3 linked regions of the Neurospora crassa OR74A genome follow. The protein of the gene in region 3 interacts with the protein of the main gene of each other region in a pairwise test. Links are inferred from orthologs where the notes say so. Each region holds a gene or a part of one and is shown on either strand. Other genes may lie near its edges. The genes, in order: NCU06702, NCU06396 and NCU09610.

Region 1 (3,752 bases), on a different chromosome or scaffold from region 3:
CAATTATGGTTTCCCCTGGGTTTCAAATTTCACCCGCGACCTCGAAACGAGCTGAAGCATGCGCGCTCGAGGTCGTCAAGACAGAATATCAGTGGATGTTCTTGATTGCTGTGGTCAGCAACTGCCCTGCCCGGCCTGGGCAACTTTTGGCAGGTGGCTACCACTGGAACTAGTAGGTCGGTTGTTAGTGTCAAGTACCGTTAAAGGTATTGTGGTACGCTGAGGGTAGGGAGAGGGGAGCGTATGCCGATTACTGTGTACCTCTAGGTTTTGCACCTGCTTAACAGAGCTCAAAGCTCGAGCCATCTGATACCTACCTCTAGATAGTGTTGTACATCCTGTCGAGCTGTAGTTTTACGGGCAGCAGCCATCCAAATTGATGGCTTCCAGTGGATTTCTGAATCACGGAAAACAGCAGTGTCGTTGGCCTTCCGCATACGGTACTTGTAGTCATATGAAGAGATATCGATTGCTCACATCGGCGAAGAGAAAATTGAGGTGGCGCGGTTATGCTTTCTATACGTCGTCTAGATGTCAACAAAACCCTTCCTGGGCTGTCCTGGCCAGCAGACATACATTGCAAGCATGTGGTGTGCCCCATTGCTTCGTCTACACGATGGCCAGCTATGGGCCTTTCACGTCGAACACATCTCAGTGTTTCAGTGATAGCAACCCCAATGCAAGGAATGCTTCATTACTGCCACTTATTCAATCGTTAGATACCAAATATGTCCCTACTTCTCTAGACGCATCAGGCTCAATCATCCTGCCACCATCTTCTGTAACCACATGTCCTCTTATAACCACCTCATATCTCCAACATTTCCAGTTAACAAACTATCCCTCTACCCCGATTTTGTTGTGATAATCTTGCACGCGCGTGAATGGTTGCCAACAAGTCCAGCGCAAAGACTTGATGGCCGTGCATCTATCTGCCTGTGTATCCTCGGGCCTCATTCAAAGCGGCACACTTTGTAACGAGCGGAAGAGGCCCGGCAGTTGCCCATAAGACGCTTAGTCAGTGTGGACGGCGTCAGCCTTGGCGCGGAGGCCGCTGGCGGTGGAGCCATTTTGGAAGTAACGGCCAAGGGTGGGGGCGAGGAAAGAGCGGAAGATGGTCTCGGCGCCCCTGTTGACATATAAGCTTGTCTTCTTGAAAGTCTGATAGAGGCGGGAAACCACTTACTTGAAGGTAGGAAGAGAGAGCCAGAGGAGGAAAACAAACTTGAAGGTGAAGTAGAAGGGGAACCAGTAGACGACGCTGATCAAGCTCTCAATGACGCTATAGCCGCGTGGTTAGATATTAAGCGCACCAAGTCAACATCGAACGCAAAGCCAAAGTGGAATGCTTACGTGAAGAGAGAGAAAACAACCCAGTACTGTGAATGCGGTGGTTAGCATGGACACCATAGGCAAAGACCTTATCAGGCATATCCCGACTTACAGTGAGCCACTGGGTATCATCCTGCTTGGAAGCGGTAAAGAGGGCATTGAGCGAGTAGTATCCGGGGAGGACGAAGCCAGCGAGGTTGGTGAGGAGCTGGCCGCCGAGGTTGAAGATGATCAGGAAGAAATAGAGAGCAACGAGACCGATGACGGCATAAGCCTTGGGAACGCCGGTGGTCTTCTCGAGGTTGTTGAGGGTAGGGTACTTGGACAGCTATTGAGGCAGGTTAGCAACGCAAAATCCAACGACGCCGTGGCCTGGCCGACATGTCTGCGATCCGGCTGCGGTTTACGCACCTCCTTATCGAGCTGGCCGATGTACTGCTGGGCGCGGTCCTGAGGCGAAGACATTTTGAGTGTTTGGTGCGGTAAGCAAGTCTATCGATCTAGAGCTAGCTGTGATGTTTCGACGTCAGCAAGATGCAAAGTTGAAGTTCAGGGGAAAATCTGAGTCGGAACTGGCGGGGAAGCTGAAGCTGTGACAAAGTGGGTTGGGCAGCTGGGAGGGCTGGGCCTAAAAATCGCAGCCTGCTCGGTGAACACCCGCACCACCGGCAGAGAGGTGACGGGAAGCTGAGAGAAAATTGCTGACCTGGCTTTCGAATTCACCGTAACGATGCTGTGAAGTGCAATGTGTCGTCTGACCTTTTGCGGTTAGGGGTGATGCTATCGTGGAAATGGCAGTTGGAGTGTGGGAACGGGTTGAAGTGGGCTGTGGGCTGTGGGCACAACGAACAATGACGATTGATACGTGTGCATTCAAAAGGGGATCATCCTGTTCTCAACCCGAAACTTGCCCTGCCCGTGGGGCCGCAAAGCTTCCTCCCGTTATCAACTGCATCTGACTGGTTCCAGAGCCCAGTGACGCCACATCGGGAGCTGTTTGACCAGGATTGGTAGACGAGAATATGGTCGAGGAATGGCTTGAGCGTACGGGTGATAAACTTATTGACTTTTGGCTAAAGTCATCAACAGGTCCGATGGTGTAGTTGGTTATCACGTCAGTCTAACACACTGAAGGTCCCCAGATCGAGCCTGGGTCGGATCAACATTCAACTTTTTCTTTTTTGTCCGTTGCACATTCTAACAGTCTCTCATTGGCCTGATGCATCTCCTTCTGTGCCTCGCCTAAGCTGCGAACGGCTCGTTTTTCTCTCCATTTTGAGATCATCATCATCCTGATATAACTTTCTCTTAACATTTCATGGATCCACACAAGCAGCTTACCGTTTTGGTCGCTTCTTCCCGCTTCTTGTAAACATCTACCATGGCCAAATGCGGCTAAACTGTCACGGTATCCGTCCAATCTTCAATTGGCCATGGAGGTTCGAAGATTTGGGTAGTAAGGAGAGTGCGTTACTCTCTCGAGGTTGCCTCGCCTGCTCTACTCACTTTGCGCTTTGATCTTTGAGACAGGCGGCCATGACAACTTGTGGACGTTTGAAGTTGAGTATCAGAACTCATGACATGGACCAACATGAAGCTTTTCGAAGCCCCGCGATACCGCTACTAGCGTTTTCGTGCAATCAGCTCCACCTCATGCGGGTGGGTGTCGGCCGCCGCATGTGCAGCGCACTTCACATTTACTAAAGAAAAGTGTAATCCTCTGCCAGATGGCTCACCAGGAAAACAACCAGTTTGATCTCTCCAACGTATCTATGACCAATATCACTGAGGGAGAGATCAGTTTCCCCTCGTTCTGCGAGCGGTCAGACGCGAACATGCTTGCCAAGTCAATGCTGGCGCAGTCTCTCGTCAACGGAGTGAAGTACAGTGTTTGTTCTGTGATCCTATGGCGGGATGACAACTCCTGTCAACCAGAAACGCAGCCAGGCATCCAGGGCAGTAATTCATGGTGGAACGTCATGGTGTAGTGTACCGGATGTCTGGAGTGACTGGTTCGGAAAAGGCATAGTATGTCGATCAGGCACACATCTAGACTCTAGTGTGTAGCCCAGGAATGGGCAAAACATCAAGGAATTCAGTGGGAGCGGAATGCGCAGGTGTTCTGGTTCGTCAACTGCCCGAATTCCTCGAACAACAAAAGGAAAGTCAACAACAGTCTCGAACAGGCAAACGGCCAATCAGACGGCATTTTGGTCCCAAGCGGGTCTGCATGGAACGTGCGGGGGAGCAGCTAGCTGCCTTTGACTTGCAGTGGTTAAGTTCCCTGCCGCAGCCTCCAGTGGAACGTCGCTGCACGTTGCAGAGTCACGGCAGCCCGTCCGCAAGGCCGCATTGAGGTACGTTCCTAGCGCTTTCATGTTTTGTTGATTCTTTCTGTACTCCGCTCCCCCATACAAACC
Region 2 (3,234 bases), on a different chromosome or scaffold from region 3:
ATGAGATGAAGTTCATCTCCGCCGTCCTCGGCGATAATGGCAAGGGCTCCAACGTTGACAAGGTTTTCGCTGAGGGTCTCCACGTTGCCGGTCAGCGCTACGTTGCCTTCAACATCGAGGGTCGCCACGTCTACGGTCGCCAGGTGCGTACTATCTCTATCCCCTTATCGTGTCTCAACCTCAGACGCCCGAACTTTAGTCGGCCGCGCTGCTCCAGGCATCCCCTTTCCAAGCCTCGTATGTTCAAGCTCACTGATGGTTTTTCTTCCCCCCAAAAATAGGGCAAGACTGGCGTCATCATCGTCAAGACAACACAGGCCATCCTCGTCGCCCACTACGGCGAGAACGCTGTCGCCGGCAACTCGACACAGACCGTCGAGGCGCTCGCCGATTACCTCGTCAAGGCCGGATACTAAGTCATGTCGGGAGGTAGTGGGAAGAAGGATGAGATGATTGGATGTCTTAAGAGTCACTGAACAAGAAACAAATGAAAACGGGATGAAGACAAGGAAGACGAAAGATGGGAAGACGGAAAAGAAACCGAAAGACTTTCCTGTGAAGGAGTATTGGGGACTGGTGTACTGGATGGATGATATCCTTAAACAGGCATAGGCCCTTGGGAATTTTTTTTTTCTGGAACTGACAGCACACTTTGGCGGAATTTGCCTTTCCATGTCAGTCGAGGCTGCCGGTGGTGAAAAACGTTCCTCGTCCGTTGTTCCATCATTGGGGTTATATGGTATCGTGATTTTGTAGACAATTTAACACCCCCCCCACCCCGGAACCATCTATAGTATTTGATTCTTCCTCTCAAAATTATGCATGAAAAGAAAGCCCGATACTTCCCTCTTCATATTACAACTTGGGTATCCCAAAGTTCGCTCCAACGCCGTTTGTGTGAATGTGCATGTTGATCGTGGGCATTAGACCCTTCATAGGCGTTCCCTCTCCTTTTCGTTTCACAACCGTCGTTTCTTCGTTCATGTTCCCGTTCGCCTCGTATTCTTTCTTTTGCCCTCCCTTTCATAGCGCGAGCGCTGAACCTGTCTTGCGCCCGACCCGCCGATGTCATTCAACCGAACGGCAAAGCGAGTATTCGTGAGCTTTCGAAGAGCGGCGCCATGGCCCAGACCATATCCTCGTTCGGCACGTTTGCACTATGCCACGGCGCCCTCGCCTTTTCCCCTCAACACTCAATCCCTCCATTTAAACAGGCAAATCCGCATTCTGCCTCGCTACCACACCAGACCGATCAACCGCGGTGCCGATATAAGGTCCAATAACAGGAATGTTGCGCGCGAAACCCGCTATCGTTCCCAGGAAGTCGCCAAAGAGGATCATGATCCCATAAAGCTCCACGCAGAAGCCGATCAAAGGCCAGCGCATCAAAATCAAAGCCAGACCGGAGAAAAAAGCCGCCGTACCTTTGGCCTTTTGCTTGCGTGCGAAGAAGGTGAAAGTTTTTTGGGGACCGATTATTATAGTTAGGCCGATTAGGAAGAGAATCTTTTTGGGTGTCAGAAGTGTTAGTAGGTACATAAACGCAGGAGAAGAAGAAGAAGAAGAAGAAGATAGACAACAGGGAGATAAGGTGAGAAAACAAAACATACATTGCCCATGGCAAGCATGGCCCGGTCAAAGAAGAGGAGGACACCGCCGATGAGGAAAAAGCCACCTGGTTGGAGAGTTCGTCCCGTCAGTTTATTTTGGTCCCTTCTTTTCCCCAAAAGAACATATAAGCGTGTATGTTCGATCCGATCCCATGACAGATGCGCAACGTTCGCGCGCCCAAAACTTTCAAATCATGGCCGGTGGCGCATTAATGCGCAAAGAGATCCAGCTCCCGTACATAATCGCTGCTAGGTAGGTCTGGCAAGGAGCTATACAGAGGTTCGGAAAGGAATATTTGAGGAGGGAGATTCGGGAACTAGGGATGGTGAATGCATACCGCCAGAGCAAAAGGCGACTCCAATTTCTAGAAACAGAGAAAAAACAGAGATTAGTATCATATACTCGCAGTCCGTGCCGTAGGCCATAGTCAGGTTGGGGGTCCAACTCACTTTGGGAGTCGGATAACCACATTGTAGGCATATTGCTGGTGTTGACTCGGAAGCTTTTTTGGGCGGGGCGGAAGATAGCTAGCTCAAGAGCTAGATGGGGAGTTCGAGGCAGCGCGAAAAGAAGTGAAGAAGCGGAAATAACTGCCGATGAATTAATAAGATAATGTAGTATATAGTAAAGAGCGTAAATACGCTGACTTGTGAAAGTGCTGACTATGTCTAGTTGTTGCAAAGGCGATCGAAAACGGTCTCGTTCGACGATGTGCTAAGATGCGATCAAGGGGCTTGCATCAACGCCGCGCCAGGGACGCGGCCGGCAGAGCAATCGGACCTTAGCGGCTTCGGGGGCCTGCCGACGGGCGGGCAGGAACAGATCCACTTTGGCTTAGCTTTCTGCAGCTGTGATTGGTTCTGAGGATCAGGATTGGAGGGGCCAACGAACCGCAAAAGCATCTTTTCTCGAATTTCGGGAAATTTTCCTTTTCGTTCTCTGTTCTACGTCCAGTTGTCGCGCAGAGATGAAGGCGTTTCAGAACAGCGAACATGGCAGTTTTGTTCCGAAACCACGCCTCGATCGCGTATTATATGCTTGTCAGCATGTAATGGTCTTAATGATGGACCAGGGCGCTTGATTACATGATTTTGCTATCATCAGGGGCGTCTTGGTCAGCTACGGTAGGTACTATTCATTTCCTTTCCCTTCACGTTGCCACGACGGCTCTAGCTTCTTGCTAGAGCAATCTGAGTTCGGTTTCTCTCCCGTCCGTTCTCGGTGGTCTGTCGGTTAGCTTTCGAGCTTTTGGGCAAAGAGCGAATGATCACGATTAAGCCGGAGTGTCGATTGTATCTTGCTGTTGAAAGACAGCGAGTACGTAGTTGGGACTTGACTTTGTTGGTCGCACATTCTTTTGCGATTAGATTAATTCTTTGTGAGAATAATAATAACATCACATCAACAATGCTCCCTTCCTGGTTCCTGTTTAAAATGAAAACGCCTTGCAATCGGTCCTTCTTGTCCCTCAACGCCTTGGAAACCGAGTCATGTTCAACGCCTCCTTGTAATATCCCATCCAAGTTTGTAGATGCTTCAATGTCCCTCCGACCCGTACGTAGCGCGTGCGAGATGCCCACGCCATGGCCAACAAGCGCCAAATGACAAGGCAGCCAGCCCAGG
Region 3 (3,752 bases):
TATGAGCTGGGCATCATGAAGATGTTTGGCGGGTTTGGCGGGGGGTTTTGGAAGGAGTATGGGGAGTTGATGCCGAAGCAGGAACCGAAAGAGGAATGGGAGGATCGAATTGCCTTGTATGAGCTGTGAGTGTCGCGGTGATCTGACCTGCCTGCTGAGATGCTGTGAGGGGTGTGATTTGCTAATGGGGCTCGACAGGTACCACCATTTGAACCACTATGCGTTGTTTGGAGGCGGGTATCGCGGCGGCGCCATGTCCATTATGAAGAAGCTTATTGCAAAGTATGCGTAGCTGGGATATTCGACTTGGCTGGCGAATGGTCCTCAGAAACCGAACATGTGAAAGTCCGCATATCAACCTCGAGTATCAGGTACTCATGGCGCGTCCATGTGTCTTTGCAATACCGTGAAACCCAACATTATTGAAATGTCAAAATGTGTTGATGTAGGTGGGTATGGTCTGGCGCCAGTCGTCTGTTCAATGCTAGGATTGATGAAGAGCGCGTTGGTCCATTGTTTGATGCTCGGCCAAAGATATTCTAAGTATAGGGGCCTAAAGTAGACATGAGAAGCAACGTGGCCCTCGACTAACAGATTGAAGTGGAAGCCCAATGCGAAATCTGTTAGTGGTCTCGTGTGATAAATGGCCATTGTTGATCGCATTTCGCAAAGACGCCATCCATAACATGTTCTAGCTGATAACGAAATGAAGAGCGATTAGTTGTCGCTAAAGCTGGACCAGCTGGTCTCAAGACTCACATTCAACACGTGGAAATGTCAGGTCGAGACAAGTGAAACCCCTATAGCGTGATGTCTCTCTTTGTGAGTCCTCTCAAACTGACACTTTTTGACACGCCGGCATCCATCCGATCGATTGCATGTTCACATGGACCTCATCCGTCTCCCAGCGATAATTGTTAAGGATCGCTTGCCGTGCACAGACCATACATGTCACTGTCCAGGTGTTCAATGCATGTCATTGCAGCCGCCAAGAGGTGTCGTTCCCCTGTCAGCGAGTGACAGCAACGATCCACATCATCTTGTGAGAGCTCCATTCTGAGAAGCGACCAGACCATGCAAGCAACGAACCCACATCCAATCCATGACGGGCAGCTTGTAGGTTCCCCCTTTGGACACCCTTTGGGCCTCGATTCTCTGCTTGACAGTTGGCACTCGATACCACCCCCTCCTCCTCAGCCCGAAGCGTGTGGTCAACGACGACGGGACAGCAGCAGCAGCACTAGAAGCACCGCCAAGTCGGACCACACCCCTCCCCTCCCCTCCCCTCCCCCCTCTTCTTCTTCTTCTTCTTCTTCTTCTTTGCTGTAGTACAGCCAACTTTCTAATATCACCACCACCCATTCCTTTCTTCCGTCTTCTCCTTCCCCTTCTTCCTCTCTCTCAGTCTGTCTTGTTGCTACCTACCCGCCCTCTCCCCGTCGCGTCGTCCGTCCTCTTCTCCGCCACCCCAGCCAGACAACCAACCACGCGCCGCATCATACGAGACATCACGAAACCACCGCCATGAACGGCCACTTCGCCGCCGTCGACAACGGCAACGGGTCGTCGCCCGACAGCAACGCCCACAGCTTTGAACACGGTATCCAGGTCATCAACGAGGACAAGCAATACAACACCAACCTCAATGAGTACCTCAACGAGACACACGTTGCCGAGGCCGGCTTCAACTACCACCTCATCTCCGTCTTCGGCTCCCAGTCCACTGGCAAGTCAACCCTCCTGAACCACCTGTTCGGCACCCAGTTCAGCGTCATGTCCGAGCGAGAGCGTCGCCAGACTACAAAGGGCATATGGATGTCCAAGAACAAGAACGAGGGAAAGATGGCCGACAACATCCTGGTCATGGACGTCGAAGGCACCGATGGTCGCGAGCGTGGCGAGGACCAGGATTTCGAGCGCAAGAGTGCCCTCTTCGCCCTTGCTACGAGTGAGGTCTTGATCGTCAACATCTGGGAACACCAGGTTGGTCTGTACCAGGGCGCAAACATGGGCCTGCTCAAGACTGTTTTTGAGGTCAACATGCAGTTGTTCTTGAAGGATAAGCAGTGGGTTTCCTGTGATGCGCTCCTAACCGATGTTCACTTACTAACAGTTTAGAAACCAAACCCGCTCCCTCCTCTTCTTCGTTATCCGCGACCATATCGGCGTCACCCCTCTCGCAAACTTGCGCAACACCTTGATCCAGGATCTGACCCACATCTGGTCCTCCATCTCCAAGCCCGCCGGCCTCGAGAACTCCAAGATTGAGGACTACTTCGACTTTGCCTTTGCCGCCCTCCCGCACAAAATCCTGCAACCCGATAAGTTCATCTCCGAGGTTCAGAATCTCGGCTCCCGCTTTATTGCCGGCCACCGAAACAAGGACTCAGATGCCACCGACGACCAAGAACTCACCGGTGGCGTCTTCCTCCCCGAATACCATCGCCGTATCCCTGCCGACGGCCTCTCCATCTACGCCGAGGGCATCTGGGACCAGATCGTCTCCAACAAGGATCTCGACTTGCCCACGCAACAAGAACTTCTCGCGCAGTTCCGCTGTGACGAGATTGCGCGCGAGGTGCAAATCGCCTTTGACGCCGCCATTGCTCCCCTCGAAGAACAACAGGCCGAGTCCACCCGCGCCGGCAAGCCCGCCGTCCTTCCCAATCTCGGTCAAATCGGCGCCGAGGCCCGTGAGAAGTGCGTCAAGAACTTTGAGACTCAGGCCTCCCGCTACCACAAGGGCGTGTACACCACGAAGCGCGCCGAGCTCGAGGACAAAATCGACAACCGCCTCAAGGCTCTATACCAAGCCCATCTCACCGCCGCTCACAAGGCGGGCGTGACTGCCTTCTCCGAGGCCGTCGCCAACGCTGTCAAGGCAGGGCAAAAAGCGGGCGGTGCTTACGAGTTCGCCGAGATTGTCGAGAAGCAAAAGACCAAGACTCTTGAAATCTTCAAGAAGGAGGCGCAGTCCCTCGCCATCCCCGGAGTGGCCTGGTCCAACTTCAAGCCGCAGTACCTCATCTTTGAAAAGGAGCTCGACGAAGTCTCTGCGCGCTTGCGCAAGGAGGAGATGCGCCGCTTGGCGATTCGTGTAGAGCGGTGGGTCAAGTCCCGCCTAGGCGACGCGATTGGGCTGGAATTCAACAAGCTCGGGTCCGGTCGTGGTGGGTCTGGTGCTCCGGAGTCTGGTGAGAAACCCGCTACCGAGAAGGACATTTGGGATCGTGTATGGAAGGCCTTTATCAGCATTGTGGGTGAAGCCGAGAGCAGGTTTACCGATCGCGCCAAGAGCTTCGAAGCTAGCGACGATGAAGTCCAAGTCGGCCTCTGGCGCCTCCGCCGCAAGTCGTGGGTCGCGCTGCGCGAGAAGATCGAAGAAGAAGTAATGGAGTCCAACATTCTCATGAAGCTTCGCGAAAACTTCGAAGACAAGTTCCGCTACGACGAAGATGGAGTGCCACGCATTTGGCGGCCGTCGGATGACATTGAAGGGATTTACACGCGCGCGCGCGAGTCGACGCTCGGTCTCGTCCCGCTGCTATCCCGCTTCCGCCTGACATCCACCAGTGCCCCTCCGGATTTGATCGAGTTTGTCGGTCCCCAACCGCACGGCGTCGAGCCAGGTGATGAAGAGGACCTGACGCCGATTGGTGGCGTTGACGAGGACGAGGGTAAGTCCCTCGAGGAGGAGACGACGATTTTGAGCGAGCCCAAGAAGCAGGATTTGGTGGTGAGGTTTAAGAAGA

What was found.
Region 1: the proteins of NCU09610 (region 3) and NCU06702 interact in binary tests that used the Saccharomyces cerevisiae proteins (3 or more experiments, as listed by UniProt). The link is inferred for Neurospora crassa OR74A from reciprocal best matches to the Saccharomyces cerevisiae genes SEY1 and YOP1.
Region 2: the proteins of NCU09610 (region 3) and NCU06396 interact in a protein complementation assay, tested with the Saccharomyces cerevisiae proteins (2 studies listed by BioGRID). The link is inferred for Neurospora crassa OR74A from reciprocal best matches to the Saccharomyces cerevisiae genes SEY1 and GOT1.

Annotation. Positions count from the first base shown.
Region 1 is NC_026505.1:4,330,621-4,334,372, reverse strand, and holds NCU06702 (yop-1), read right to left. Parts: upstream 2,217-3,752; 5' UTR 2,039-2,216; intron 1,843-2,038; 5' UTR 1,798-1,842; coding exon 1,744-1,797; intron 1,661-1,743; coding exon 1,445-1,660; intron 1,380-1,444; coding exon 1,354-1,379; intron 1,283-1,353; coding exon 1,187-1,282; intron 1,130-1,186; coding exon 1,015-1,129; 3' UTR 480-1,014; downstream 1-479. UniProt on the Saccharomyces cerevisiae protein: Required to generate and maintain the structure of the tubular endoplasmic reticulum network and the vacuole. Induces high curvature in membranes and causes membrane tubule formation. Involved in membrane/vesicle trafficking.
Region 2 is NC_026504.1:2,648,787-2,652,020, forward strand, and holds NCU06396 (Got1 family protein), read right to left. Parts: upstream 2,336-3,234; 5' UTR 2,092-2,335; coding exon 2,061-2,091; intron 1,976-2,060; coding exon 1,949-1,975; intron 1,676-1,948; coding exon 1,611-1,675; intron 1,507-1,610; coding exon 1,207-1,506; 3' UTR 576-1,206; downstream 1-575. Other genes in the region: NCU06397 (profilin), read left to right, coding at 1-143, 282-416.
Region 3 is NC_026502.1:58,418-62,169, forward strand, and holds the start of NCU09610 (sey-1), read left to right. Parts: upstream 1-1,077; 5' UTR 1,078-1,524; coding exon 1,525-2,066; intron 2,067-2,118; coding exon 2,119-3,752. Other genes in the region: NCU09611 (fructosamine-3-kinase), read left to right, coding at 1-125, 199-292. UniProt on the Saccharomyces cerevisiae protein: Cooperates with the reticulon proteins RTN1 and RTN2 and the tubule-shaping DP1 family protein YOP1 to generate and maintain the structure of the tubular endoplasmic reticulum network. Has GTPase activity, which is required for its function in ER organization.